Canis lupus familiaris: one gene and its partners. The protein of the gene in region 2 interacts with the protein of the main gene of each other region in a biochemical or structural test. Links are inferred from orthologs where the notes say so. Each region holds a gene or a part of one and is shown on either strand. Other genes may lie near its edges.

Evidence for each region.
Region 1: the proteins of TRIM72 (region 2) and UBE2H form a complex in vitro, tested with the Homo sapiens proteins (2 studies listed by BioGRID). The link is inferred for Canis lupus familiaris from reciprocal best matches to the Homo sapiens genes TRIM72 and UBE2H.
Region 3: the proteins of TRIM72 (region 2) and INSR form a complex in vitro, tested with the Homo sapiens proteins (2 studies listed by BioGRID). The link is inferred for Canis lupus familiaris from reciprocal best matches to the Homo sapiens genes TRIM72 and INSR.

What each region holds. Positions count from the first base shown.
Region 1 is NC_049235.1:6,862,723-6,870,111, reverse strand, and holds part of UBE2H (ubiquitin-conjugating enzyme E2 H), read right to left. Parts: intron 4,699-7,389; coding exon 4,570-4,698; intron 4,472-4,569; coding exon of another isoform or gene 4,464-4,471; exon of another isoform or gene 4,222-4,463; intron 1-4,221. UniProt on the Homo sapiens protein: Accepts ubiquitin from the E1 complex and catalyzes its covalent attachment to other proteins. E2 ubiquitin conjugating enzyme that transfers ubiquitin to MAEA, a core component of the CTLH E3 ubiquitin-protein ligase complex.
Region 2 is NC_049227.1:17,196,665-17,204,640, reverse strand, and holds the start of TRIM72 (tripartite motif-containing protein 72), read left to right. Parts: upstream 1-2,787; 5' UTR 2,788-2,934; exon of another isoform or gene 2,935-3,057; intron 3,058-3,471; 5' UTR 3,472-3,478; coding exon 3,479-3,868; intron 3,869-7,099; coding exon 7,100-7,195; intron 7,196-7,285; coding exon 7,286-7,516; intron 7,517-7,976. UniProt on the Homo sapiens protein: Muscle-specific E3 ubiquitin-protein ligase that plays a central role in cell membrane repair by nucleating the assembly of the repair machinery at injury sites.
Region 3 is NC_049241.1:52,556,085-52,564,065, forward strand, and holds the start of INSR (insulin receptor), read right to left. Parts: upstream 4,200-7,981; 5' UTR 4,120-4,199; intron 1-4,119. UniProt on the Homo sapiens protein: Receptor tyrosine kinase which mediates the pleiotropic actions of insulin.

The DNA of each region.
Region 1 (7,389 bases), on a different chromosome or scaffold from region 2:
GTTGACTGGCCTCCCCTCCTGCTGCGTGGGCACCCTCACTCTTGCCTTGTTGCCTATCCATGTGGCTGCATTCCTCCAACCTTGCAGGACTGGGGAAGTGCAAACCCCATCCTTTCTTTTTCTCTCTCTGTTAATAGAACTATTCACCTCCCAGGTAGAGCAGGACTAGTTATGATTCCATAGTAATTTATAAGGAAATCCCCCATCATTTTTAGACTTGCAGTTATATAATTACAGTCAGCCCAAATCTATTATTTTAGGAAAAGATTTTAGTCTAAACAGATCCTGCCTGTCAGGTTTTTGAAGCAGCTGGTGAAAACAGTCTCTCAATCTGCTCAGGAATGAGCTGCTATCTGGAGACACAGTGAGCCCAAGTGACTTGATCATCTATTATTTACCTGAAGATTTATGCATCTATAGCCTAGGCTGAGAGAGAATTTTAAGAACTGCTGAACAAACAAACTTGTTCCTAAAAACTCTAAGTGCACACTGTTCTTAAGTAAATAGCCTACACACACACACAATATGAAAAGGTAAGACAGACCCTATCCAGAGCGCCAGAAGGGGGGAAACACGCCGGTCCTTACGTTTTGTTTCTTCTCCTATGGAATCACAGGGGCCAAATGCCAAAGATGAGGAACATGGTCAAAGGGGCCTGCCAAGTTTGAATGATGTCACACAGGGGCTAGCTAAGAATCTTTTTTATGTTTAAAGGGTTATATTTTTTAGAAGATTTTATTTATTTATTCATGAGACACACAGAGAGAGGCAGAGACACGGGCAGAGGAAGAAGCAGGCTCCATGCAGGGAGCCCAGTGTGGGACTGGATTCCCGGACCCCAGGATCACAACCTGAGCCGAAGGCAGATGCTCAACCACTGAGCCACCCAGGCGTCCCTGTTTTTTGTTTTTTTTTTTTAAAGATTTTATTTACCCATTCATAATAGACACAGAGAGGCAGAGAGAGAGGCAGAGGGAGAAGCAGGCTCCACGCAGGGAGCCCGACATGGGACTCAATCCTGGGGACTCTGGGATCACGCCCTGAGCCAAAGGCAGACGTCCAACCACTGAGTCACCCAGGAGTCTCGGGTTATTTATTTTTAAAGATTTTATTTATTTACTTGAGAGAAAGAGAGTGAGCAAGCATGAATGGTGGGGGGAGTGGCAGGGGGAGAGGGAGAAACAGACTCCCCATTGAGCAGGGAGCCCAATGTGGGACTCAATTCCAGAACCCTGGGATCATGACCTGAGCTGAAGTCAGATGCTCAACCGAGCTATCCAGGAGTCCCTAAAGGGTTGTTTAAAAAAAGGGGGGGGGAGGGGGAGGAAAGAATATGTGACAGAGACTCTATTTGTGGCCAAATCTGGCCCTTTAGAGAAAAAGTTTGTAGACTTCTTAGAACCCTACAAACTCATTATAATAAAGTTTTATGTGGAGATGAGGTTCTAAAAGCTTCTGATTAGGTAAGAACTTACCTGAATTTATTCTTCAAAGAGAGAGAAATGTTTATTACAGTCTTAGAAATGTTATTTTTACCCTCTACTGGGTCAGCTATGTCCCTGCATTTGTAGAAAGCTGCTGCACTTTGATATTTCTCTCTGACGCTATAAGGTGATACTATTAGTCCTCTTTAGTATATTTGAGGAAATAAATAGGTCTTAAGTGCTAAGCTTACTAGGACAAGGGTTTTTAGGAGATAGAAGAATAAAGAGCAAGGTCACTAATGAGCAGGAGACACAGATGCAGATAAAAGCAGTTAGTGCCACCGGAGGGAAGTGTGGAGGAAGGGACCCTGGCCTCTGAGAGCCAGGAAGCCAGGCACACCTGACCTGACCCTGGAAGGAATTCTTAGCTGCAGCATAGGACATGCCACTCCAGGGGAATGCACAGCCTTGCCAAAAGCACAAGGGAGAAGGCCATGGCCGGGAGGTTAAAACAACACTGAGAACTATGTTTATATCTGAAACAAATAAGGCAAAATGTATAGGTCTTGCTGTAGTTAGATGGTGAGCATATGGTTAAGTTATTTTCTGGGTTTTTTTTGTTGTTGTTTGTTTGTTTTTGTAGGGTTGCAACTTTCCCTAAGGAAGGGAATATAGTTGGCAAACTCATCCAATTTGATGGTCACATAGTGATACATTTAGGAGTAAAGGCAAAGATGGAGCTCACCACACAGTGAGAGAGAGCCATGAATGGCAGGCTAAGATGTCACTCAGTAAAGGTTTCTAAGCAGGCAAGTGTCCTATCCTACAGGCAGCTCATACTTACACAATTTAAAAAATCAACTATATATGAACATTGACTAAAATCCACAGTAAGAAAGGTTACCAAGCGTGGAAATGTCTGGTAGCAGCCTGGGAGAGAAGGCCCATCTAGACACATTTTTGGAAATCACCTACCTGGAGGTAGCTGTGAAGGGTGAATCAGCTCCCCAAGTGGGGAGGGAGAGTGAGGGTGGGTTAAATGACTGAATCTTAAAAGAATGACCATTGACCATGTTTGGGAATGGAATGAGAAAGGTTTTCAGGAAGGGAAGGGGCAAAATAGCAAGGCTGCAGAGAAGTCTGGAAAATGGTTCTTGAGCAGGGTGCATATGATTAGGAAGAAATGAGAACACAGGAGGAGGGAAAACAAACTAGACCTCAGGAGTTTAGGGCAAGGAAGTGAGGAGTTTGAAAATGACAGGAAATAAAGAACAGGACTCCTCAAGAGGTCCATGGGAGCAGACACAGGCTTCTGAAGCAGGGATGCCTCTGACAGGCTGGGTGCAGGAGAACTGGGAGAACAACCTCAGGCTGGGGGCCAGGGGAGCGTGTTTAAGCAATCAGCCCTGATTTTCACATTACGCAGGAAGACAAAATGATAGCCAACACTGACATTTCAGGAAGCTCAAATTCCCTAAGCTAGAGCTTGCCATTCTAAAATAAAAACATAGGGTGCCTGGTTGGCTCAGGTCACACATGATCTCAGGGTCCTGGGATCCAGCCCCGCATCTGGCTCCTTGCCCACTGGGGAGTCTGCTTCTCTCTCCCTCTATCCTCCCCGCCCCACCCCGCCCTGCTTACGTGTGCGTGCTCTCTAATAAATAAATAAAATCTTTAAAAAAATGTAGATTGGATTCCTTTTGTAATTGGTGCTAGAGCAGATATGTACTAAAACAAGAATCATGTTGCTGAGGCACAATGAATGTAAGAACTAGAGAAATACGCTCTGCAATGAGGTATCTGTGGGCTGCAGATACTGTTAAGTGATGTTTGTGTCACAATTTTAACACAGTCTCATAATAGAACTTTATCTGGTTGAAATGGACTTTTTTTCCTTTGAAATACTTGTTTGGCTATACAGATATTCTGCTACATAAATTAGGTATTAATTTGCAAAATACCTGAGACTTAAGTAAATTAATTAGAGTAGATTTATTTCTATTTTATCTCAACAGAAGCGCCAAACAGTACCCTACAAAGATCAGGGGAGAATGAGAAAACAAAAGGAAAGCGTGAGATGTGCCTGTCTCATACCAGCACAGTTAAGAGGGAAGACCTATATATTCCAGGCGCTCGTAAATTATTCCTACTGCCATCTCCCGCAGATGGGCCCCAGAGGGGCCACACAATTGGCAGAAGTCATGCTAAAAATTAGGTAAATACCAATGCCTGTCACTTGGTAAGAAGAGCAGACCTACTTTCATGGACTCTGAATTCCTTTCCTTTCTGGTGGAACTTTATCTAGACTTTTCACTATGAAGGATCTCAAGCATGCAGAATAAAAATGAACACCAGTAAGCCAGGGTGAAGCTACAGATGTTCTCTTGAAACCAAAAGTTCATTTTAATGAACTTTATGTCTCATTAGCAGGTAAACTATTTAAGAATGAGAAAATAGTAGGATTCTAAATCCTAAAGGATGGACAAACTAGCACTACTACTACCAGCACACTTCTAACTTTGAACAGTACATTTCACGTTTTACTAGAAAGCTGGGCCCTGGGGCTAGGTATCTACAGCAGATAAATGTGCCCAGATGTAAACTTTCCAAAGTAAAAGAAAATCAGTATGGGGCCAAGAAAAGAAGCCAGCTGGGTATTCTTAATTCAACAGGTAAAATGATACAATAAAAAAAGTATAAGGATAAATTTGGCATTTCCCAACTTCCAAAGTTAACTGCTTTTCTGAAAGGCCAGGATGATACTATCTGTAAACAAATGTGAGATTATGCCCTTCAATTAATATTTCATTCTCGAATCCAATTTTCTAATTTTATAGGACAAGAGGAAACAAATGGAGGCTAAGATTCTTTTGTACAGAGGTCCATGGGGATTTCCGGCAGGGTTACATGTACCACCACCCAACAGGTGTCTCCCATTTTCTCATCTTTCCTTTTGCTCTTTCTCGCTCCTTCTCCTCTTCCTTGCTGGGACATTCAGGGGCCAGTGAGCTCCGCTCCAGCCCACAGACAGTGGTCTCTTTAAAGGCCTGAGAAAAATTATTAGTAACTAAGAAGGGCTTTTAATGATGAAAGCCCAGTACATGTAAGTTTTTCTGTCTCCAGGTTAAACTATTTGCCTTCTTACCTTTAATTTTCTGCTTGTATTCTTCTGGTCGGTGGAGATACATGGCTGCAGCATCACCATTGAGAGGATCTATGGGGTTGGGATAGGCCAACAACTGGGGCAGGAAGGACTCAAATATATTGGTAAGATCTGAAAAACAAACAGAAATATGTCATGCATGGAAAAAAACAAGTCACCTAAAATTCACTTGAGTTCAGTAGTCAAAACCGCTTATCTTCTGAAATAATCAACCACATGAAAGTGTTCCATAAAAGTGTGCTCCATTACATGTGATCTCTATAACATATTCCTTTTGATACCAATTTTAAAATTTAATATTTAATTTTAATTTAAAGAACCAAATAAAGGTATACCTGATACTCCACTTTCAAAGGCAATCATCCCAATTTGAATTCACTCCATGTTTTAAACCAAGAATTCAGAAATAGTACATACATCATTTAATTAAAATGTGTACCCCAAAACTCTACCACTCTATATCCTTACAAAATGGGTAGTCTCTTAATATTGCCTCTTTCTACAAATTTGAAAATCCCCACTCTGAAAAGTATTCAAGCACCAGATCTCAGAAGAACACAATTTTATAGGCCTGATGTTTAATTCAATTCTCATCACCTTCAATGGAGGTAAATAGAACCGGTTTTTAAATTCTTCTGGCTAATGAAAGTAGGAATCTACATAGGCCACTTAAAATCATAGATAATAAGACAGAGAAGTACCAATTTATTGAATTTATTGACAATCATTTTAATAAACATTTACTAACTCCCTTCTTGCCAGATGCAGCACAAGGTGCTGGGTATACACGGATAACATTTACACACACAGCAGAGTCAACAAGAACTCTGCCGTCATATAGTGTTTTATAAAGGAAATAGGCCTTGCAAACCTGTAAAATAAACTACATGTTCCCATCACTTCAGAGATGCTATAACTTCCATTCTATTTGCTGCTCAGCAGACGGTAAACTGTGGAATCTTAGTGCTTCCAGCTCTCTGCCCTAGTCCAGTTACTCTATCATGTTTTATAGAAAAATTTCTGTTTCTGGAAGGAATGCTAGAGTATAGCAGCATAAAACTATTCTTTTATTTATTCTGCTCTCTTAACATATTTTTTCCCCTTTAGAGTGAGCACTTTTATGCAGTATTATAAATGAATGTTTGGTCAAGCCACATCAATTTAGCTTAGTGATTCTTAGCCAGGGGTGATTTTGCTCCCCAGCAGACATCCTATAATGTCTGGAAAGATTTTTAGTTGTCACACCTGGATGGGGAAAGGGGACAGGTGGTGTACCAGCCGTTGTGGATAGAGGCAGTGATGTTGTTAAACATCCTACAATGCACAGGAGAGCCCTTTACAACACCTAATTACTTGGACCAAAATTCAATAGTGCTGAAGCTGAGAAATCCTGGTCTAGAGAAAAGGGATTGACTGACTTTTTCATAAATGGCCAGAGTAAATTAGACTTTGTGGGCAACATCTGGACTCTGTTGCATGTATTCAACATTTAGCTCTACCACTGTAGCACAAAAGCACCCACAAATGGATATGGATGTGTTTCAATAAAACTTTATATACAAAACCAGGCAGCCAATGTTTGTCATCTTCTGCTTTAGAAAACCCTACAAATATAACAGAAAGAGAAGCAGGCTCTACGCAGGGAGCCCGATGTGGGACTCGATCCTGGGACTCCAGGATCATGCCCTGGGCCAAAAGCTCAACCACTGAGCCACCCAGGCTTCCCTAATTTATATTTAAATAAGCTCAGGTCTAGACAGTAATGTCACGGAGAGTCCCAGGATGTCTAGCATAGTCCCATTCTCATGCACCAGGTACTGACAGAGCTTGTTTACCTTGAGCCCAGGTAAAAGAGACTTGGTATTATTACACAGACTGGAGCTATTTCTCCTTCATAAAGCTAACTTCCCAAATAACCACGATTCCCATACACCAGAAAATAAATGCAGAGATTCCTAATCAAAAAAGCAAAACAAAAATAACCTTTCAAGATAACTCAATCACACTGCTATTTTACTTACAATTATTTTTTTAAAAAGGAAGCAACATGTTCAACAAATCAGTAATTATTCATGGTATAAAACCACTGAAAACTATTCAAAGACTAGAGAATAAAATATACTTATTTTCCTTTTTTTTTTTTTAAATTTATTTATTCATAGAGACACAGCTAGAGAGAGAGGCAGAGACACAGGCAGAGGGAGAAGCAGGCACCATGCAGGGAGCCCGACATGGGACTCGATCCCGAGTCTCCAGGATCACGCCCTGGGCTGCAGGCGGCGCTAAACCGCTGCGCCACGGGGGCTGCCCTATACTTCTTTTCCTAATGTCAGAGGATAAAGTCCATAAAATGGTATGCTCTAGGGCAGCCCAGGTGGCTCAGCAGTTTAGTGCCGCCTTCAGCCCAGGGCATGATCCTGGAGACCCCAGATCGTGTCCTACATCAGGCTCCCTGCATGGAGCCTGCTTCTCCCTCTGCCTGTGTCTCTGCCTCTCTCTCTCTATCTCATGAGTAAATAAATAAAAAATCTTAAAAAAAAAAGGTATGCTCTATAGAATTATAACTATGTACAGTACGTGTGCATAAGAACATCTAAAATGTTATCTCAAGGTAATAGGCTTACAACTTCTACTCTTCATACATCAAGTGACATTTTGCTTTTTTTACCTTTAAAAATAGCATTTTCCTATGAATGTCCTTTCTACTTCTGCACATGTTTGAAATATTTAAATAAAACAGAAGTCTAAAAAATTAAGGTAAATAAACTCAAAAGAAAAAAAAAACAAGAGGAGAAGGTGGGC
Region 2 (7,976 bases):
TATTGACCATAACCCTCAGCCTCAGCCTGCCAGTGATGGAAACTCCAGGTGAGATCGACATTCAGGATGTTGACTTTTTGAGTGGAAGTAAAGTGGTTTGTGGTTTCAGAGATGAGCTCCAGATACACTCTAATCCCTACCCTCTCCTGTTTGGGGAAATCAAACTCCCCTGGGTTTCTCAGGGTTCTGGTAAAAAGCTCTAGTAGCTTCCTGAGACTTTCAATATCCTGAGGGTAAAATCTGTAGTCATTTGTGTTGTCAGTTGCTCTGATCCAAAAGAATAATAAAACTTATCTCTTCCTCAGGGGCCTAAATGATGATAGCCTGTACAAGGTTCCTAGGTTAAGCCCAAAGGTGCCAGGAAGCCTGGGGTAGCTTCCTAAATGGGCCAACAGGCAACATGTAAGAGCCTCGTGTTTAAGAAGAAATGAGCTTCAGAACCTGGAGACAAGCCCAAAGACTTGTCATATTTAGAGTTTACTCATGCTTTTGAAATGCAATTCATTGTTTATCTAGACACTGCTTTGGGATTTAACATTATTAGAAGGAATGGGAGGTTCAGTTCATAAATACAACTTTTGTATGTAAATACAAGAATGCTCTGCTTTTTCTCCCCAAAGTCTGCATTTTCCTAGGATTTTGATCAAGCACATGAGAGTTAATCTATATTTCATCAACGAGACTTAATAAGACCATCTTTCATATTAATCAATTATAAGATCATCAAGATGATAGAGCTGTGCTGTCCTATGTTTTTTTTTTTTAAGACTTATTTATTTATTTATTCATGAGAGACACAGACTGAGAGAGGCAGAGACACAGGCAGAGGGAGAAGCAGACTCCATGCAGGGAGCCTGATGGGGGACTTGATCCTGGATCCCGGGATCACGACCTGAGGCAAAGGCAGGTGCCCAACCGCTGAGCCACCCAGGAGTCCCCACTGTCCTATTTGATAGCTACTATAAATATGCAGCTCTTGAGCACGTGCAATGAGGCTAGTCTAAAATGAGATGTACTCTAAGTATAATATACATACCTGTTTTCAAAGACTTAGTATGAAAGAATGTAAAATATTTCATTAATAATTTTTTAAAAGTAAGCTCTACGCCCAACATGGTGCTTGAATTTATGACTCCGAGATCCAGAGTCGTATGGTTTACCCACTGAGCCAGCCAGGCACCCCGCATTAATAATTTTCATATTGGTTACATGTCAAATGATAATATTTTGGATACATTGGGTTAAATGAAATATATTCTTGAAATAGAAAACAAAAACAAAAGGAAAAACCCAAAGATTTGAGCTGAGGTGTGTAGGGAGCTACCTGGCTCCTGCGGAGATTTAGTTATTTGCCAAAGAGTTGGAGTGAGAAGATCTTTAAGCAGGGGAGTGGAACAGGTGCTTTCTTCTCTTTGATAAGCAGGGAAAGGAAGTCTCCCTTGTTGCTCACCTCTAGGGTGTCTGGCTACCCTCATGGGGCAGTTAACTTGGCTCTCATCCTATCATCCTAGGGCACAGGGAGCCAGATGTTTACTATTTGCTAGGAGAGATGGAATAAGTCTGTCTTTGATCCAGAACACCTCGTGTGCACATTTGGGATAAAATTAATAAAAGTGAACATCAAAACCCAAGAGAGGCAAAAAAAGAGTCCAAAGAGGGAGATTATCACTGAAACCTAAGCAGAACCTCAGAATGTGATGGAGGGAGGGAGAAATGGACAAATCCAGTGAAAGGCTAAGAAAATGTGTCTGAGAGGCCAAAAGAGAAGAACCCAGTGAGCTTGTGTGTTTATTCATTCACTGAGTATTTTTTGGGCACCTGCAGTGTGCTCATGCTTTATTCTAAATTGGAGACAAGCAGTGTACAAAATTTATATTCTGGTAGGAGAGATCAGTAAAAAAAAAAAAGCAATAAGTAAAATATTGCTTGTCAGATGTTAATAAATGTTATAGGGAAAATAGAGCAGGGAAAGGAGATGTGAGAGTTAAAATCAGGGAGTTAGGAAAAGCCTCACTGAAAAGGTGACCCCGGGTAAAGATTGGAGGGAGAATAGGATGGGAACCATGTTTGAAGGAGTGTTCCAGGTGCTGGGGGGGGGGGTGGTGATGGGGGGGGAGGACAAGTCTGAAGGCCAAGGCTGGAGTTGGAGTGAGCAGGTGGGGAGGGCTGAGAGGAGAATGAGCTCAGCTTCAGCAGGGACTCGTAGGCCACAGTGCTGAGGACTTTGGTTTTCATCCTGAATACAGTTTAAACTGAGATTTGAAGTCTAAGCGTGTAAAAGCCCAAAGCTCTCAGGGCAGAATCAGCTTCTGGGCTACAGGCTATGGGTTCAGTCCCTTCATTTATTCGTCTGTCCCTCTATCACTCATTTCCCAAGCACTTAGGGAGGCCCACTTTGCCCCAGGGCCTGTGCTGGGCACTGGAGAGACCTTCCCCTCAACTTTGGGAGGCAGAAAACCTTTCAGAGTGGGCTGAGGTCCTGTCCGCCTGCAGGTGGAGCTGGTACTGTCAGTGTGACCTGGGAGAGCCATAAACTTGGGGAATAAGTGGGTGACAAGCTGGGGAAGGGCCACAGGCAGGGAAGGGGGAGGCTGGGGAATCCGTGGAGGTGGGGTGAGGGAGAAAGGAGAGACTCTTCCTAAACGTTTCTGTCTTTTCTGTGGTATGGGAGGCCCTGTCTTCCCGCTTGTTGTGATTTCTGGCTCCAGGCTGAGCAAGGGAGGGGACAGTGCGATGGGCCAGGACAGGTGGCCTTGACATGTGATGCTTGCCCGCTGACCACTCAGTCTTCACTTTTAGAACGGTTTCCAGAAGTGATGGCAAAGTGTGGGCAGGACAACTAAATATAGTCCTGGGGCCAGGGCTCAGTCTGGGAGGGTCTATCTACTATTCACTCTGTGCTTCCACCCGTGGTGTCCACTGCTGGCTTCGCCTGTGAGTCCCCTGCCCTTGCTCTGAGCTTGCTGCTTGTCCTTTGCCTGTCTTCCCTAAGGCTAGGCTTGACCTTGAGTGGGCCTCCTGGGAGTCTCTTTTTGCCCAAGATCTCCAAACAGCCCTGTGAGTCCTGTGGGTCCTGTGGCCCTGGAGATGTGGGGGAGGGGAGGCCTGGGGATCCTGGAGAGGTAGGAGGGTAGCTGGTGGGGGCTCTGGGGAATTTGGGGCAGGGGCTGCGGCCTGAGGCTGAGCTAAGGGAAAGTCAGTGGTTAAGACCACACCCTGGACTCGTGTTTAGGAACTGGGTATGAGACAAGGTCCCCGTTAGCCACTATTTTGGGGGCTGGGGCTGAGAAATGCAGCTGATACTTCTTTGGGGATGGAAACCGAGTCCCCCTTTCCTCTTGGCCAGAACCAGAGCCCCTTTCTGTCTGAGACTTGACGTCTTTATAGGCTGGGGATCCTCCCAATCTGGTCTGGCCCGGGGCTAGTTCGTGGCTCCGCTGAGCCTCCCTGACGGGCCTCTCCTCCACCCAGGTCCATCATGTCGGCCGCGCCGGGCCTCCTGCACCAGGAGCTGTCCTGCCCGCTCTGCCTGCAGCTGTTTGACGCGCCGGTGACCGCCGAGTGCGGCCACAGTTTCTGCCGCGCCTGCCTGAGCCGCGTGGCTGGGGAGCCGGCGGCGGACGGCACCGTGCCCTGCCCGTGCTGCCAGGCACTCACGCGGCCACAGGCGCTCAGCACCAACCAGCAGCTGGCGCGCCTGGTGGAGGGGCTGGCGCAGGTGCCGCAGGGCCACTGCGAGGAGCACCTAGACCCGCTCAGCATCTACTGCGAGCAGGATCGAGCGCTCGTGTGCGGCGTGTGCGCCTCGCTCGGCTCGCACCGCGGCCACCGCCTGCTGCCCGCCGCCGAAGCCCACGCGCGCCTCAAGGTGCGGGGATCGCGGCCTCCGGCGGAGCGGGGGGCGGTGGGACCGGATTGTTGGCCGCAGCGGGGTCGGGCCGCTCTTGGGGTCGCCGCGTTGACCTGGATTCGGAGCTTCTGGGCCCGGGGCGCCTGGAGGAGCGGGGAACTCCAGGGGGCGGGGCGAGGCCGCTCGGGAATGGGGACTGGCCCCGGAAGGCGGAGTCTGGCGGAGAGGCGAGCCTGGAACCGGCACTCAGGGGCGGGCGCTGGGGAACCCGAGCGGCCGGGGATGCGGGGGCCGCGGCCTCCGGGCAGAGCGCGCTGAGCCGGGAGGAGAACGCGTGCCTGCGGCCGGGGCGCGGGCGGGCAGCTGGGCGGAGGCTCCGGAGGCTGGGACTAGAGGGGTGGCGTTTGGGGTCGGGCGGCCGCCAGGCTGCTTCGCTGAGGTCCACGTTCTGCTCCGAGCCGCAGAACTTGCTTGTGTAGGCCCGAGGGGCACGTCCAGCGGGGAGGGCAAGGCCGGCCTGGCGACGCACCTCCGTGAGCATGCCCAGGTTGGCACCGCGACCCAGAGCCAGGCTGCTTTTCTGGATGGGGCTGGAAGTCTGGAACGCTTCCAGAGCCCACACACAGTTGTGCGCACCCCAAGGTTCGTGGTTCCCACGGGGGCCCAGAAGAGACACCCAGGCATTAGCAAATAGAGACGCAGACACACGCCGGCTCGCCCAGGTCAGACGTGTGGCAAATCACACGCAGTTGCTGCAGGAGAGTATGAGTCTAACACAGGCCCAGGAAGGTCCATCAGGGAAAATTTGTTGGGCTTCGGAACAATAAACGACAGGTGTGGGGGCGGGAGGAGGCGGGCTCTAGAGGGGGGGGGGGCTGAGGACTAGCCCCCGGGGTGGAGCTGCCCCCCTCTTCTCGCGAATAGGTGGGTTGTGCTTCAGCGGGTTATCTTTACCCAGGAACATCAGCGTTGCCCTGCTCTTCTGCTTGCCCCCCTCCCCTCTAAAGAGGGCATGTCCCTGTCCTCAAGCTGGTATTTGAGGCCCCCGGACCGGACTCCCCCCACAGGGACACAGCCTCAGCGACCCTCCCCCTCCTGCCTTGCCCAGTCCTGCCTAGGCCAGTTGGTGGTCTCCTAGACCAGTGTAGGAGCTTCCTCTTCCCAGGAGCTTTCCCAACCCAGGCTCACCTATGCTGGTAACCCCAGAACTCCCAATCTGGTCCCGAGAGAGAGAGAGAGAATGAGAGAGAGAGAGAGAGAGAGAGAGAGATCTGCGAAGAGGGAATAGAGTCTATGACATGGAACAGAGCACCAGGTGACCCAGGAGCCTTGAGGGGGCAGGTGGGGCGGGATACTTTCTGCCAGGATCTGCATTAGTCCAATCCTAAACCGCAGGGAGGCGCCGGCAGGAATTCTGAAGAAGGGACCCAAGGAAGGATCTGAAGGAGGAGACAGGAAGGCTGGGGCGCGGCTGAATGCCTGGGTCCTTGGCCACGAAGAAGGGGGCTGGGTCCAGAGACTGTGCACCAGGACTCAAGCAAGAGTGGTCGAACGGGATCTGCCGGGGGCGGGGGACGGACGTGACCGCCTGAAACCTGCATGCCAATGACGCGCAGCAGACTGCTTTGGGGTCCCAGGCATAGTGGGTTGGGGGCTGCCGTAGCGGCCCCCGCGCAACATTCTGAGAGCCTTTGTGCAGCGGCTCCCCCCCAGCTTCAGTTTGAACTTCTGGAGCTCATCTGTGGTCAAGTCGTTCCCCGCCGCGCCCCCTTCCCCAGCCCCCGCGCAGCCAGGAAGGCGTCACGCTTCTTCCTCATGGCTTAGTCCTGTCGCCCCAGAACCTCTGACGGCTCCATGCTGAGAACCACCAGGTCTGCCCTGTTCTGCAGCAGGCCGGGCGTGGCCCCGGAGAACGTCCCAGGAAGGAGCGTGACCTGGGGGCTGGCCAGGGGGCCATGAGCCCAGTGGTGCAATCCTGGGGCTTCCGCTCATCCCCAGAGCCTAGAGGGTCTCTCAGTTTCCCTTAGGGGAGTGGGGGGGAGGCCGCGGATTTGTCACACCACCAATGAAGTGAGGCAGACTGCTCCCATCCTGCAAAAGAGGAAGCTGAGGTTGGAAGGCACAGGGGCGGGACTGGAACCCTCCGATCCCTTTCCCCTGCAAAGGGGTGGCTTTGTCAAGAGCTCTTAGGAGTCTCCCTACACCTGCATTTCAGGATTCACAAACTGACAGGCCCAGGGTAGGATCCAGCCCACAAGTGTGTTTGGTGACATAGCAGACATCCCTTCCCTTCCCTTCCCTTCCCTTCCCTTCCCTTCCCTTCCCTTCCCTTCCCTTCCCTTCCCTTCCCTTCCCTTCCCTTCCCTTCCCTTCCCTTCCCTTCCCTTCCCTTCCCTTCCTTCTTTCTTCTTTCCTTTCTTCTTTTCTTTCTTTTCTTTTTTTGTAAGCTTTACCTCCAACCTGGGCTGGAACTCACCACCCAGAGTTCAAGAATCGCGCGCTCTATGGACTGAGCCAGCCAGGTGCCCCAACACAGCAGACATTATTAAATGGCCTGCCCCCACAGCCCTTGGGTGTGCAGGAAGGTTGACTGGGGTGTTTTGCTATGGTTCTGCCTTTTTCTTTTTTTTAAGATTTTGAGAGAGAGAGAGAGAGAAGGAGAAAGAGAGAGAGAGAGAGATTATGAACAGAGGGGGAAGGGCAGAGGGAGAAGCAGACTTTCTGCTGAGCAGGGATCCCAGTGTGGGACTTGGATCCCAGGACCCTGACCCTAACCTGAGCCGGAGGCAGACTTAACCACCCAGGCACTCTATGGTTCTGCTTTTAAGGATGGGGTAAAGCCCAGGGAGAGGAGGAGGTTGCATTTCTTCTTCATACATTCTACACTCACCCAGAGAGGCCTGCTGTGTGCCAGTGCTGTACCTCTCTGCTGGAGGACACCAAAGCACATTTGTGTTTGTCACTGTCACAAAGACCTGTGCCAGGGGTGCTAACTGCTGAGGGCATGGGACTGGGAAGGGAAGCCAGGGAGGACTTCCCTAAATAGACAATGGGAGGGTAAGGCATGCTAGACATTAGGACTAGTGTGAGCAAGGGCCTGGAGATCTGCACATGAGTTTGGGGAATGCTGAGATGCTCACCTGGCTGTAGGGGGAGCTGGCATTGAGGCTGAGCCAGAGAGGGTAAGTTTGGGGTGGGAGGTGTGGGGAAGGATCAGCCCCATCACCTTTTTGTACCTCACCCCCCCAGACACAGCTGCCACAGCAGAAACTGCAGCTGCAGGAGGCATGTATGCGCAAGGAGAAGAGTGTGGCTCTGCTGGAGCATCAGCTCATGGAAGTGGAGGTGAGGGGCTCAGCACAGCAGGGCCTGGGTACTGGGCATGGGGCTGGGGGGCTCGCTCAGCTCAGTCCTTTTGCCTGTCTGCTCCCACAGGAGATGGTGCGTCAGTTCCGGGGGGCTGTAGGGGAGCAGCTGGGCAAGATGCGGGTGTTCCTGGCTGCACTGGAGGGCTCCTTGGACCGTGAGGCAGAGCGCGTGCGGGGAGAGGCAGGGGTTGCCCTGCGGCGGGAGCTGGGGAGCCTGAACTCTTACCTGGAGCAGTTGCGTCAGATGGAGAAGGTGCTGGAGGAGGTGGCCGACAAGCCACAGACTGAGTTCCTCATGGTGAGCACTTGGATGACCTTCCCTCTCTGCTTCTCAGCCAGGGTTCAGGGGGTCTCTAGAGACCCCATCCCATTGTCAGACATGGACTTTGACATCCAGAGAGGGACAGGGACTAGGCCAGGTCGCACATCGAGGGAGACTGGGCCCCATGACTGCTGTTATGGTTGTTTAGGTTGTGCAGTTTAGGACAGTGCACAAGGACACTGAATCTAAGTGGCACCATTCATGTCACAGACGTTGTAGGTTTGTATGTTTATTCGGACAGTCCTTCTACCAGGTGGAATTGGTCTCTTGAGGAAAGGGGGTACATTTATATAGTTCACACAGAGATAAAGGGCTAGGGTTGGCTTTACATTCTGGGTTTATTTTTGCTTTTCTGATTCTTTCTGGCCCCACACTTAGCATCCCCTGTGGTCCACCCATCCTCAGAAGTTCTCACTGTCTCCCCTCCCTGCCTCAC
Region 3 (7,981 bases), on a different chromosome or scaffold from region 2:
GATCTCACGACCCTGAGATGATGCTCTGAGCAAATCAAGAGTCTGACCCTCAACTGACTGAGCCACCTAGGCGCCCCTCACGGATGTATTCTTTTTTAGGACTTTATTTATTTAATAGGGAGAGAGCACAGGCAGGCAGAACAGCAGGCAGAGGGAGAGGGAGAAGCAGGCTCCCCGCAGAGCAGAAGCGGAGCTCAATCCCAGGACAGTGGGATCATGACCTGAACCGAGGGCAGAAGCTTAATGGACTGAACCACCCAGGCGCCCCTAATGTATGTACTCTTAATAGAAAGTAACACCAGGGGTCTTGAAAGAAAATCGCACAGCAGACACCACTTTCTTTTGAGTTCTAGACACAAAGCCGACAGCGAGGGATCCTCATTCAACGCCAAGATGACTGTGCAAATAAATAAATCTTGATACCATAGACACAGCTAAGGAGGGGACATCATGGTATTTTCTCCCCGTTGGAACCCATATGTTCAGAGAGCGTACATGTCTCTGTAAAGGGGAACACGCCACAGCATCCCCAAGCATTCGTGATGCACTCATGTCATACCAGGGGCCACGCAAGCGATTAGGCATGTCATCATGATCCTCAAAGAGTCTGTCATAAATCAGGAGTCCCAAAACTCTCCCCGAGAAGGGCCAAGATATACACATTTCTATGGGCCATGCAATTGCAACTACTCAACTCTGCCATTAGGGCACAAAAGCAACTGTTAAGATGATGCCAATAAAACTTTATTCACAAAACCAGGTGTGGGCAGGCGGGAGTTGGCCTGTGGGCCACAGTTTGATAGCCCCTGTTCTAGATGAAGGAGTCTGACTACGTAAATTCACAACTGGGCTGAGAGTGGATGGCAGTAGGGATTGGCCCTCTAGGAAGAAAGAGCTAACATCTGAGCCCAGGGAAGGGAGCAGAGAGGATGGAGAGAGAGCCAGGTGCAGGTGAAAACTCTGCAGGAAACCGTGCCTTCCTGCCCTCCCCGAGGGGAGGGAGTGGACAGTGGCAGGCCCCGAGAGGTCAGCTGGGGTGAGGCGACAGGAGACGCACTTGGGAGGTGAGGGATTACCTTCACAAGAGCCATGGGCAAAGCAAAGCGATGGAGACATTAGCCAGATGCTGCGGGCAGCACAGTGGGCCAGAGGTGAGAGGGAGGGTGGTTAGAGCCCACCGGGGAGGCTTGGCAGGGGAAGGCTGGAGGCGGGTGGTGGGCCGGGGGTCGAGGGGCGGGGTATTGATCCTGGAACAAAGAGAGCAGGGACCCAGGTGGGTAAGTGTCCTAGACAAAGAAAAAGTTATCTTCCTGAATGTGGCTGTTCTCAACTGGGGCGGCTGGCAATGCCCAGAGACACTCTTGATTGTCATGACTGGAGGGAGGGACGTGCTACTGGCATTTTGTGGGTGGAGAAGCCAGGGATGCGGCTCCACTCCTCACAATACACAGGACAGCCAGCCCCCCCACAACCGGGAACTGTCTCAACCCAAATATTAAGAGCGATGAAGTTGAGAGGATCTACTCTATCCAGGTTGAGTCACTGACGGAGTGGGCTGCAGTGGGGACCCCAGGGAGCCCCACCCCAATGACCTCCATGAGTGAGTGGGACAAGGATGGCGGGCAGGGCTCCAGGAGGGAAGCAAAAGTTAAGAATAACCTCAGGGAGGTTAGGAAGTAGGCAAAAGTCCTGCTCCGAGGGCCCCCAAAGCACACAAGAGGACACACAAGAGAGACATCCGAGGCCACCCTTGTGAAATGAGGAGTGCCCGAGAAACCAGGGCGCTCTGGAAGCGAGCCTCTCTCACCTTAATTAGCCAACTCGCTGGACTCCCCCCGAAGCCCCGCAGGTTTTTCTTTTAATTAATCCCACATTGCCTTCATCCTTTAACTTTGCAATGCCCCCAAGTAATCTCAGGCCACTGCCAGCCAGTCCGAGGAGAAACAGAGGGGGGAGACACTACCCATTTCAGCAGAGCAGTAGGGACTCCACAGGAGAGCGGGCCAAAGTAGCACATCCCATAGGACATCCCCCCCTAAGAAAGTCCTTCACTTCTTAAACATCACACCGCCACCACCCCAACCAAAACGCCCTACAGGCTGACATTAGAGATTAATGATCTGTAAAGTTTCTCGAGGTTTCCGAACCTCTGAGGGGCATCACATCTCATTTATTCAATAGGATTTTGTTAACCATTACCACAGGTCGGTGGGAGGGAAGCTCAAACCCAAGAGAGCCACCTTTTATGAAGAAATCAGGCCAAGTAGGGTCCTCAGCAGCTCTGCCGCCTAGTCAAACTGCCTCACCTGGGAAAAATGATAATAAACCCCACCCCACAAGGCCATGGTGGGGATTAACTAAGATTATATATTCGGAGCACATGGAAAAGCCCCCGCCAAGAGCTTGCTCTTATGACTATGTCTAAGTTGGGTATTACCCGAGGAATGAAAAAGCCATAGCTTGGAGTACTGGTGAGAACACGAAGAATATGAGCTGAACCAAGAACAAATATTTTAACCAAACACCTTCTATGTGCCAGGCACTGTTCTAGGCTCTGGAAACATCGCAGTGGACAAAAGAAGTATATGCCTCTACCCCTGTGGAAACTGTGAACATGTAAAGAAGCGGTAAATCCACCTCCTGGGCCCTGCAAGCCCAGGCACAAGTCCACAATAAATTACCAAAGCTACAAGGAACAGAAGAGCAGGGAACCACACACACACATGCACGTGTGCAGACGCACGCACATACATACATACACAAATCCTAGACTAGTCCTAACATTTGTCTGGAGTTTCTTAACAAGAACTCAAGCCGACTGCCACCTTTATTGAGCGCCCGCTGTATACCAAGCACTTGGGCCTCGGAACCGTGGTGTAACTGAGAGAGGAGCTCCGCAAACCTGGATTGTCAACGCCAGAGCCTGTGCGTGCTTTGCCAGGGACCTCATTCCCCATCAGGGAGCTCAGGAGCTGCTTTCCTTCCCTCCCCGACCCCTTCCTCACCATGACTGATTTCCTTTTATGGACAATTCTGAAAAAGTAACCCAACAGATATTTTTAAAGTGGGGCCTCAAACACCAGTGGGGAACTCCAGCCATGTTCTCTTAAAGGTTCTTCATTTCTTGCCCCACAAGCAGAAAGGACGGCTACCAAGCCCAAGGCCGATGCTGGAGTTGGGGTTTGCCTCCATCTGCTGCCAGCGCAGGGAGGCTGGGGAGGGAAGTCCATGGGGCTAGGGGGTGTGAGAGCCTCTCCTGAGGTTAGAGACCTCCCTGGACTGGCAGGTAAAAGAGCCCTTGTGAAAGGCAGAGCTGGAGGGGGGGGTGTGGGGGTTATGGGGAGACATAGGACATGCAGCAGTCCAGAGCCTCCCCAGGGCACCACACAGAGAGGTTAGAGTCCTCCCTCTGGCCCTGACTTTAGGGCAAATCGAACCGTCTCCTAACCTCAGCCTCAATTTACTCCTCTATGAAATGGGTAACGCGTATGGACCTCCGGAGGCCACTGTGAAGGTCCAGAGAGATCAGTCCGGGGCATTCGGTGACCCTAACTATAATAATCATAATAAAGACAACACCCCCCCCCCCGCCCCCTTCTGCTACAACAAAGGCCCTGTTGCCAAGGCGCTAGAGTTTGCCTCCGGACATCTGGAAACAGAACCCAAAAGTGTAAACATGGATCTGAAGTCCGGGTAGCCACCGGCCTAGGTCCAAGCAGAGGGGTGGGATTCTGCAGTGCCCCGCCTGGGGCGCCCATCCGCAGAGACCCCGAGGGACCCCGTGCGCCCGCGGCATGCGGTGCCCCCAGGTCGCCCGGACCCGGGGACCCAGCGGGCACCCGGGTCGCGTCTCCCGGGCGAGCGGGGCTTGGAGAGGGCCGGGCACGGGTGCGAGGCGCGTCGGGAGGGGCGCCCGCGGCGGGGCGGGCACTGGGGCAAGGTTCCTCGGGGCCGGGGCCCGCACGCGGGGCGCAGAACCGCGAGCCCAGGCGGGCAAAGGCCAAGGTCAGCGGCTTCCCGCCGCGGCCGCCCGCGCCCCCACACGCGCCGGGGAGGGCGCGGGGTCCCCGGTGGCCCCCCACGCGCCCGCCCGCCGCCCTCCGGGGCCCCCGGACTCACCCTCTCCGGGGTACAGGTGGCCCGCGGCACCCAGCAGCAGCGCGGCCACCGCCAGCAGCAGCGGCGCGGCGGCCGCCCCCCGCCCGGCCCGGGCGCCCATGGCTGCGGGAGCGCGGGGTCCCGGCGGCTCAGAGCGCGCGGCGCCGGCCCGCGGGGGTCATGCTCTGCGGCGCGGGGCGCGCGCCCTCCTCTCCGCGCCCGCGGCCCCGCCCGGGAGGGCCCCCACTCGGCCCCCGAGGGGCGCGGGGCCTCGGCCGCTGCAGATCCCGCGGCGGCGGCGGCGGCGGCGGCGGCGGCGGCGGCGGCGGCGGCGGCGGCCCCGACCCGGACCCCTGCGGCCCGGGGCCCGTCCCGCGATCTCAGGGCCCGGAGCCCCTCGCTGCGCCCCGGCCGCCCGGCTCTCCGCCCCGAGCGCGCTGGGCCGCGATCTGCGGACGCCGAGACAGACGGACGCGCGGACGGACAGACGCGCGGACGGGCGGGCACCTGGGCTGGCGAGCGGCGGGCGGGCGGCGGGAGCGAGGGCTGCTCGGCCCGTAAACAACGCGGCCCGTCAGCTGGGCCCCGCGCGGGTCGCGGGAAAAGGCGGCGCGGATCGAGACTCGGAAGGGACTCGGCGCCCGGGAGAGGCCCGGGAGAGGCCCGGGAGGGGGAGGCAGGACGGCCGCGGGGAGGCGCCGCCCCGCCCGCCGCCCTCGCCTGGGCCCCCCGCGCTGGAGGCGCCCGCACCCCGCCCCCCGCGCCCCGCGCCCCGGCGTCTCGGGCCTCGGGGGCGCCCCCGATGCCGACCCATCCGGACGGATCCCTTCCGTAACATTTTTCGCTATTTCGTTTCCCTTGTGGACTTTGGGAGGTTCGGTTTGATTTTTTTTTTTTTTTTTTAAGATTTCATTAAAACGCTGTTTATCTTGGTCCCTGGGGTTTCTGGTACTCCCGTAAATGTTGCACTCGCGTCACCCTCGTCCCAGTCCTGCCAGCGCGTCTCGGACTAGACGCGAGGGCGCCCCCGCCCCGCGCCCGGGGCCCTGCGGACGGCCACGTGCACGCGCGCCCAGGGCGCTCCGTGTGCTCCGTGGCAGGGGCGAGGGAGGGGGGCCTCAGGCGCGGCCTGGGGTGCAAGTCGGAGAAGAGACACCTGGGACAACGTGCAGAACCTCGCAGAAGAGCGAACCAGGCCCCACGGAGCCGGGTTCCAGCGCAGGTGGACACACCCCGTTTTCAACACACAGACCCACAGTCCCTGTGTGTGTCTGAATGTCCAGCAAGTGTCATTCACGAATAGGGCACCATAGCAGCCAAGCCACCTTCCTGAGCTGGGGGAAGGAGCCTTAGGTATAGAAAGCCAGCACCGAGTGGAATCTGGCTCCCCCTCCCCTCACTTCCTGTGTGGCCTTGGACGTGGGACTTTACTCTCTGGCTGGGTTGGCCTCGGCTCTATAATGCCTGTAACAATCCCTGCCGGTCCGATTTGACGAGGTGCAAGAGCAATAAAGCATAAGAAAGCGCCCGGCACAATTCTAGGCAGAGGGCGCTCATTCTTCCCCCTGGTCCATTACGCAAATATTAGTTAGCCAGGAGCTGAGCCCACTGTTCCTCTAAGGCACCAAACCTAATCCTGCCTCCTGGCTTTCACTCTGGCTGTTCCCTCCGCCTGTCCCTCCAGTGGCTGGCTGCCCCTCGGTGCCCCAGTGAGCCTTCCCTGATCACACTTTGCAAACGCCGCCTCCCCCCCCCCCCCATCCCTTTGTTCTGGTCCCTGTTATTTACATCACTCTAGTTTGTCCTGAAATTCTTTGGGTTTTTTGTGTATGGTCTCCCCACTCCATGAAGCAGAAATTCTTCACTATTTTACACCCAGCGCCTGATATATCTGTTGCTTAATAAATATTTGTTGAATGGAAGAACCAACATGCAATAATAAGTAATGAGGATTTACAGTGAGCAAAATAAACACACTCAGTTTCCCTGTAGACCTCACAGTCTGGCGAGAGAGGGGATCCTTGATTAAACAATCCTGGGGCCTAATGTGGGGTGGGGGTGGGGCGTAGGGAAAGGATCCTCCCAAGGAGGTGAGTTGAAGCTGAAATCTGGAGATGAGGAGGAGTCAGCCAAGGAAGACAGGAGGGAAGTGTTACAGGCTGGGAGCCCAGCATGAGCAGGGGCCCAGAGGTGGACAGGCAGGTGTTCCCCCAACTGACCCAGGCACTGGAGCTGGAGCCTAGAGGGAGGTCAAGCAAGCAAAGGTGGACTCAAAGGCAGAATTAGAAGGGGGAAGAGCCTTGGATAGATCATGTTAAGCCCTCTCCCAAAACACCTTCATCCTAAAAGCAATGGGAAGCTACTAGAAGGTGTACACAAAAGGGCTGACATAATTTGATTTTCTTTCCAATAATATCTGCGATGGGGCAAACATAGACCCAGAGAGAACACAGAGTAGCTGCAGTCCCAGAGTATCAAGAATTGTAGGTTCAATAAATGTTGTTCCCCTTCCTTCTTGTGCAAACCTGTCCAGAGCTGTGGGCTTCCCTCTGACCCGTGGGAGCCCCCAAAATCACCACATTCCCAGGCAGGAAGCGTGTGCTGAAAACCACGCGGAAGGAAACACGCTGTCCTCTGGAAATCCTTCAGGACAAGGACTTGCGTGCTGGACCTAAGTCGAAAGAATCATTTCGACTGATCATTTCAGTTGTGACCTGAAAATGAAGACACCACCACTTCCTGAAACCACTCACTGTTTCTTTCGCAAAACCCTCCAAGCCCTCCAAAAAAACAGCCATCTAAAAATTGAAAGTCAACCCTTGCCTTTTATTAAAATCATTGGAACAGAAGCAGAGACACCACCATTTGGCAATCTCTGACTGATTGATTCGGGCGAGAACCCTCTGTGCATGCCAAAACTAACGGTTGGACTTTTAAGAAGCAAATATTTCCACGGTCTCCAAGTATCTCTCTGCAAGATACTTGCTCATAATAAAGGAAAGGAAAAACAGTAGCTTCCTAGAGGAGAAAGCTGGCGGACATCACCTTAAATTAAGTGATCAAAGTTGCTTCTGGATTTCCTTTTGCCGTGTAAGACATTTCCGGGACAATTGGGGAAGACTTAAAAGGTCCATCAATTATATTACTAGAGTATTGAATTAGTATTGAATCAATAGTAATTTGATCGTCGTGCAGAGATGGTGTGAGAGAACGTCTTTGGTTTTAGGAACTACATACTGAATGAAATATGGAGGGATAAAGGGCAGAATGTCTGCAACCGGCTTTCAAATCATTTTGAAAAAAAAAAAAAAGAGAGAGAGAAAGAACAAAGTAGATGTGATCAAGTTTGATAAAATTTGTATATCTGGGGCACCTGCGTGGCTCAGTGGTTGAGCATCTGCCTTGGGCTCAGGTCATGATCCCGGGGTCCTGGAATCCAGTCCTGCATCGAGTTCCCTGCAGGGGACCTGCGTCTCCTCCTGCCTATGTCTCTACCTCTCACTCTGTGTCTCTCATGAATAAATAAATAAAATATTTTTTAATAAATATGTAAATCTGGTGAAAAGTGTGGACATAGGGGTTCACTGTACTATTCATGCAGCTTTGCATGGAGTTCAACAGCATATAAAAATCAAAAGTTTTAAATTTTGAAAAACTACTTGGGGTAGGGCTCCTGACTAGCTTAGTGGGTAGAGCATCCAACACAGACCCCCAGGGTTGTCAGTTTGAGCCCCACATTGGGCGTGGAACCTACTAAAAAAAGCTATTTGAGGCTTTTTATTTCACTTTGTTTTTGTTAGATCGGCTTCAGCTTGACATTTAAACACATTGTACTCTGAATGCATGATCTAAAGAGAAAGAAAGGTTGGTTCATAGTTCATGA